2 linked regions of the Daphnia pulex genome follow. The protein of the gene in region 1 purifies or fractionates together with the protein of each later gene. This does not show direct contact. Links are inferred from orthologs where the notes say so. Each region holds a gene or a part of one and is shown on either strand. Other genes may lie near its edges.

Evidence for each region. The genes of interacting proteins can lie anywhere in the genome.
Region 2: the proteins of probable N-acetyltransferase san (region 1) and N-alpha-acetyltransferase 15, NatA auxiliary subunit-like purify together in Drosophila melanogaster (affinity purification with mass spectrometry, with the first as the bait; 3 studies listed by BioGRID). This does not show direct contact. The link is inferred for Daphnia pulex from reciprocal best matches to the Drosophila melanogaster genes san and Naa15-16.

What each region holds. Positions count from the first base shown.
Region 1 is NC_060018.1:2,102,568-2,105,463, forward strand, and holds probable N-acetyltransferase san, read right to left. Parts: upstream 1,556-2,896; 5' UTR 1,416-1,555; coding exon 1,408-1,415; intron 1,234-1,407; coding exon 1,097-1,233; intron 1,037-1,096; coding exon 850-1,036; intron 788-849; coding exon 622-787; 3' UTR 566-621; downstream 1-565. Other genes in the region: retinol dehydrogenase 12-like, read left to right, coding at 1-7, 77-127, 226-309, 369-539; meiotic nuclear division protein 1 homolog, read left to right, coding at 1,857-2,192, 2,272-2,418, 2,479-2,613. UniProt on the Drosophila melanogaster protein: N-alpha-acetyltransferase that acetylates the N-terminus of proteins that retain their initiating methionine. Has a broad substrate specificity: able to acetylate the initiator methionine of most peptides.
Region 2 is NC_060019.1:10,600,680-10,605,001, forward strand, and holds the start of N-alpha-acetyltransferase 15, NatA auxiliary subunit-like, read right to left. Parts: upstream 2,807-4,322; 5' UTR 2,670-2,806; intron 2,052-2,669; 5' UTR 1,812-2,051; coding exon 1,755-1,811; intron 1,678-1,754; coding exon 1,593-1,677; intron 1,521-1,592; coding exon 1,258-1,520; intron 1,194-1,257; coding exon 1,059-1,193; intron 991-1,058; coding exon 843-990; intron 764-842; coding exon 368-763; intron 302-367; coding exon 126-301; intron 68-125; coding exon 1-67.

The DNA of each region.
Region 1 (2,896 bases):
ACTCCAAGTCAGTAATTCTTTCTGGTTCATACACTAATAAGAATTAAACAAAATTTAACTTTGTTGCATATTACAGAATCACGGAGTAAATGTTTATACGGTTTGCCCAGGGTGGAATTATACTAAGGCAAGTTCTGATTTTATTATTTGTTACATGCAAAATAATTGCTTAAATTTGCGTACACCGTCTAAACGTCTAATAATGAAAATTTGCAATCCAAACAGCTTTTCCGCTATTCATCAGTACCATTTTATTCATGGATAGCCATTATACCGATTGCATTTTGGTTTATGAAGCCTGCTCGAATTGTAAGTACTTCATGCCGACAGAATATTGTTAAACATACCTAAAATTGAATTGTTACTAGGGCGTTCAAACTCTGATCCACTGTGCAGTATCAGAGGAAACGGAAAATGAAACGGGACTTTTTTATCGTGACTGCAAGGTTTATCAAAGTCAACTTAAAGCTAGCTCAAATTCCACAATCATTAACAAATTATGGGAGCTAAGCTGTAAAATGTGTAAGATTGAATGGTAGTAATTTCAGTTCAATACAATTATTAGTAAAGTGACATGATCATTTCTGTATTATCAGTTACCTTAGCTTAACCTATCATAATTCATTTTTCTGGTTCACTAAGACTTCTTTGTGGCCTTAAAAGTTTCATCAGCACATGTGCATCAGCTGGCTCAATTCTCTTGTAGTATTGTTCTTTTGTTTCAACAATTTCAAAGCCAAATTTCTTGTAGAAGTCAATTGCACTTTGGTTGTTAACTTGAACATGGCTGTTTTGAAAAGTTAAGTCTTAAAAACATATTTTTTTTTCTCAATAATAAAATATAATTACAGAAAAATGCTATGAAAATCCCCATCCTTTTCCACGTAGTTTAGGACATGTTCCAACATTTTGGCACCAATACCCCTTTTCCTGTATGGAGCTAGGCATCCCAGGGTCATGATGTACAATCTTCTTGATCCATCTAAAATATCGATCCTACAGCATACAGCTCCCACCACAATGTCATTATAGTATGCTGCACAATAAAATGTGATAAATGTAAGGAGAAATAAAAGGAAAATCAAGTATGTGGTACCTAGCTTAGCCAATTCTCCTGCTTCTAGAATATCTTTATAGAACTTGTCGTTGTAGGAAACTGGAAATACCACTTGATTCAATCGTTTCAGTTGTTGTAGGTTGTGAGGTGTGACATCCCCCAGTTCTATTGTTGCCCTGAAATAAAATAATCCTTTGTAATTGTCATCGGCATGCAAAACGGGATATTCAGTGGCAGTCACACATACAGCTTGTTAAGACTTTAAGGTAAGCTATAATAGAGTTTGTTTTTAAAAACACTGTGTGGAATGCTTTACCAATTACTTCCCCAAAAACATTCAGTTTATTTACCTGGTCATTTTTGTTCCAGTCAAATTTCAAGGGGGCTCACGTTTTGATCGATGTGATTTCGGAAATTTACAGCAGACAGAACTCGAAACCGAAAAAACCCATGGTGCGGCGACGACATCGACAGATCAAAATTTTCATAAACAATATTTGCAATCATTCACAGTTTCAATAATAAAATTCCACGTTGCTAATAAAATGAATCGAAAAAATAAAAAAAAATCCATACGAAGTCCGTACGAATCAAACTTAAAAAAATTGCATTATCTGTGAATGCCTCTCAAGGTGGCTCAACTGGCAACGTCACAAGATTTTTTGAATTTCTCAGTTAAAATTCACTTGGTTAAAGAGTAGTAGTTAAACGTCAAGAAAACGTGTCGTCTCGTCTTATTACAATATAAATTTGAGGAAAAGAAGCTATTAAGTCAAACAGTTAAAATATTGACATTAAAATGACATCCAAAAAACGTGGACTTAGCCTGGAGGAGAAACGTAAAGGCATGATGGAAATTTTTTATGAAAAGAAAGACTTCTTCCAGCTTAAAGAATTAGAAAAAATTGCCCCAAAAGAAAAAGGAATTGTACAAGGAACAGTAAAAGATGTGATTCAAAGTTTGGTGGATGATGGAATGGTTGATACAGACAAAATTGGCACATCAATTTATTTCTGGGCCTTTCCTAGTAAGGCAATCAATGCAAAAAAACAGAAACTAGTGCAACTGGAAAATTCTAGTCAACAACTGAAGAAGTTGAGAGTTGATGTTGAAGCAAAGTTGGCAGAAAAAAGAGTAAGTTGAGGCGTCATTAGATAATTTTCTATCTTTTTTGTTTTTGTGCACTTAGACTTAACTGACTGTCGTAATTTAGGTTGGACAACAGGATGATGATACAAAAGACGAATTATTACAAAAGTTAAAGGAAGCACAAGTACAAAACGCTGAATTGAAAAGAAGTCTGATTGAATACCAAGAACTTGATCCTGATGAACTTGAAAAACTAAAAGCAGAATCTCAGGTGAGTCTTTCTTGTGTTGGCAGTTTCTTTCATAGTATATTATAGCAATTGCTCTCACAGGTTTCTTTGGAGGCTGCGAACCGTTGGACAGATAATATTTTCGCCGTCAAATCCTGGTGCAAATCAAAGTTTTTTATGGAAGATAACCAATTAAACAAAGCATTTGGAATTCCGGAAGAATTGGACTATTTGTAGAAGCCTCAAGAATGCTTTCTGTAAATAATTTAGAAGCATTGTTTAAAGCTTTTTGAATTCTTCCTTGTCTCTTTCCCATGTCCTTGACTGAATTCTGTAAGAACCTGGATACTTTCAACGATATTTTCCTAACATGTATAGTTTTCTGTGTAAAATACTTCAAATTTTGAAGTGCGTTTAATACAGAATTCCGTTTTTTTTTTCATTAACAGTGTTATTGTTTGGTCATTGATTGTCTACCAAAAACTTTAATAACAACACGGCGTATTATTTAGTTTCTATG
Region 2 (4,322 bases), on another chromosome or scaffold:
GATCGGCAGTGTCTAAAGACTGGGCTTCATCTAAGCAGCGGTAAGCTTCGATAGGGTTTCCAGCATGCTATGATAGTAAATGATATTTAATTCAACTAAAAGAAAAAAAGAATGGCAAGTCTAACCTTAAACAGTCGTCCTTTCGTCACATAGAGCTCGATCAACGTCGGAGTGTGATCAATGGCCAAATTAATATAATGCAACGCTTTGGCGGAATCCTTATGAAAATCGTAGTGCTGGGCTAGATAATAGTAAGTCCATAAAATAGCTGATGCCGGTTCTGCTGGACCATCCTTCACATCTAAAATCAAGTTAATTCAACATTACCTATAAGAATTCAACAAAGAATCGAAAATAGTAGACAAACCTTTTTCGTCGAATCGTTCACATTTAATTAAACTAGCTATGTAACCGAGTAAGAGCTCCTCGATAATGGCTGCTTTTCCTGGTTGGGCGTACAGCGAACGTAAATCGACAAATAGAGGAGGAGCGCCCTTGTGCAGTGCGTGACGTAGATATTGGTCTACCAAACTACGAAACTTTTCTCCACTGGCATAACTAAGTGGTATTCTTCGGGCCAAAATGGCTCGTGGATAAGACTCGCGAAGCTCGGCATACATTTGCAGCTTTATATCTTCATTGGTCAGTCCACGAGCTTCTTCTAATCCAAAGTAATACTGCCGGTTATCCGGATTGCGTTTTAGCAATTTACGGTATTCTTCTTCGGCATCTTTCTGGCGATCGAGCTTGAGGTAGAGTTGTGCTAAAAATCAAATATGAGACATTAATATATTGCCGGTCTGCTGTGTTGTTTGTTTTTATGGTTTCGATGAGCCACGTACCTCGAGCTTCCATTAAACTCAATTTATCACAAATTTGGTCTTCAAATTGTTGAAGGTGAGACAAAGATTTCTGATAAAGACCACCTTCAAACATAACCTGATGCATGTAGAGTAAAAGCTCACTCTGCTCATAGTCATAGCTGGATTTCTATATTGAGAAAAAAATTAATAATAACATGATTTGAATGTGTTATGAATTGACTCAAGGGTATTCACGGTAAGAGTTTTTCTGAAATCGTCTAAAACTTGGAGAGCATTGTCATAATCGTGAAGTAGATGGTAAGCCATGGCAAATCCAATCCAAGAAGCTCGTTGGCCAGGTCGTAGCCTCAATAGAGAATACCTTGTATCCTTTCAAAATTCACAAGTAACAAACATAAAAATAGGGATTATAGTTAAATTACTGATTACTTACTCTATATCCTTCAAGATCACGCATCTGGATCTGAAGTAGTGACAAGTCTCTTAGAATTTGAACATTGTCCTTATCCCATTTCAATGCATTCCTGTAGCATTTGATTGCTTCATCGTATTTTTTATCTGATCTCTGTAATAGCCCATACACATGCCAACAGACATGAGACATGAGATCATTACGGAGACCTCTACGAACATGTTCATAAGCCTCTTCCTTTCTTCCCATACAATTGAGAGTCAAACCTTTCATTGAGAGGGTTTCTAAACAGAAAAATTGTTAATAAATAATAAGAATACATAAACATAAAGTAAATGAATAGCTCCAGAGTGTACCTCCATGTTCAGCAAACTTTGGATTGCTGAGAATCTGTTTGGCAAACTTAAGTCCATTTTTATACTGCTTTTGTTCGTAACTTTTCTGTAAATCACAATATTTCGAACGATTAATTGGGGCTTGCACAACATATTTTTTTTTTCTCCAAATAAACACCCTACCAGAATTCTTTTAAACAGGGCATTTTCTTTGGGAGGTAGAGGCTGACTGGAAGGCATCTTTTTAATGAGGATGAATATCCTGTTCTCGCAGTGAAGTATCAAAATTTGTTTCCCAAAACCATTAAATGCCGGTTTCTTTTCAACCGATGATGACACAGGTTAACCGTGAAAAAGCCTCGTGCTTACTTCGCTAAAGATGGCCGAAATTGGTGAACCCCCTTCTTTCCGTCGCTCAACACCGTATTCCAGGATTCGGATGTATACACCGCGTTATTTGACAAATCAGAGTGATGTGTCCTAATATTTTAAGGAGAGACAAAATAAAAAAAAACTATAAATTATTATTGGGATATTATTTATCTCATTAGTGCATTTGTAAAATGAAATCAACAAAACAATATTCTATATCGATAATCGATACGGCAGCAGACGAAAACCATTCCACTTCATATGTTATTGTTGACTTGTCACTCACTTTTTCTCTGTCAAAATGTTCATTTCTATCATTTTTTCTTGATGAAATATTAATCCGTTCAAGTTCAACATTAACATAACATAACATGAACATCTTTTTGCTTGCTTAGAGTAACTACGAATTACTTGTCAAATAAAATTGCAATGGACATCATCCATTTTGAATGAGGACTTCATAGAGAAAGAATGTTGACAGAAGATTATTAAGAATCAAACAAGTCAACATCAGTCTTAAAGAAAGTACCCACTCACAATTAATAGGTGTCATTTACTACTGAAAAACAAACAAACATTTTATTAGTAAATTTCCCCCACATTGTACAGTCCCTTTCTATTGAACTGAGATGTTAATAAATAGTAATAGTATGATATAATACATACCATTAAATATCTAAAGCTTCTAGACAATATTAATCTATGAGAAATATTTTATAGGTGTACCTTAAAATCTTAAATACGTCGTTGGCGTTGTCCGTTAGCAATCGTTCGTTTGATAAGCACAACTGAAAACAATCATAATTTCTCAAATTAGTCAGCCGCCAGGTTTTACGTGTTTCAAACATAAAGTTCCCTAATTGAATGTTTATTATAACGGTTTTACCTTCACGGGTAAATTTTTTGTTGCTATCCTATACTCCAGAACGAAAATTGCCCGTAATTTCAAAATGAGCGGTAGATCTAATACCCTTTGGGGCAGAGCCTCAGGCAAAACACTTAAGTAAATGCTAAAAGGAAGGACAACATTAAGCTATTATTTACTGATTACTATTTCCAATCTGTCAAGCAACGCAATTTGCATTCAATTTAATTACGATTTAAAAAATGTATTCAATTCAACGATTATTTTGACTTTCTATTCCACTAACTAACAGCTTCCAGTAGACAAATATAAAAAAGAGAGAAGAAAATAAAAACAAACTTTTGTTGCACGGTTGGGATTTCCCATTTAGTTAAAGAAATCCCCTGAATTGTGGGAGGAGGGGAGTAATGGATTGTTTGTTTTTATCATCTGAAAAAAGTTCATAACAAGGACATATGTGAAAATTGTCACGGCTAAGGGCTCTATGTTTTACTTATAATATTAATTTGGTCCTTCCTACGATAAAAAAGAAAATGTTGACACCGCATTCGATGAGGACGATGCAGCACATAGAAGTTATTGATATTCTGATGGTCTGTTTTTCAATTTTTCGAAACGCTTTTTCAAAATATTTGTGCAAATCTATAAACAAAACGGGAAAAATATACAAAATAACGTTTTGAAGAAAAAATATCAAAACAAAGCATAACAGTGCGTACCTGAATCGTTACACCTGGTGGGCGTCCAACAACCACGAAACGAACACCACGGCTTTTGCCTCATGGGCGAGATTGGGAAAGCACATCATTTTGCCGCCTGTCAATCACAATCCAACCATAAAAGTAAATTTCTCGAGTAAATATAGGGTTGGTAGAATAAAATCAATTAAAGCAATCTAACGTGAGACACCCACGCAAATACCTTTAGGAAATGTAGTAGTGTACCCTATGTAGTACGCGTCGCTACCAGGTGAGAGAGAGAGAGTTATTATTGTTCTGCTCAACGAACTCTCTTGTTTATCGTTATTTTTCTTCAATCGAAAGTGCAACGAATACAAGCTGTTCTCGAATAAACTTGGAAAGTCAAACAAATTGGTTTTGTTATAGTTAGAAACTCATTTCTACAACGGCTGCAGAAACTTGATTGCTGGCTTTTTCGACCTGTCATTCAAGAAAAACAAAGAGAAAATCAAATGATGTAAGACAATTGTACGATGAGTATAAAAACAAAAGCGTACCCTGGCCAATTTCTGCTGGGGTTGCGAGTCACCGACAGGTAGAGGATTATCGGTTTGATTGTCTTGTTGATTTTCTGCTCGTTCCTGTTGATGTCTACGAATCCTGTTGTCTCTCATCCTGGGCAAACTTCTTGTTTTGCCTGTTTTGGCCGCCTTCTGTTTGTTCGGTCGCAATTATTTCAAACCCGCCGGTTCTAGAAGGGAAGTTAAAAAAGAAAATAAAGTCATTCCAGTCTAAATGTTCTATGCGGTATAAATTAGAGGAAAACGTTCGAGA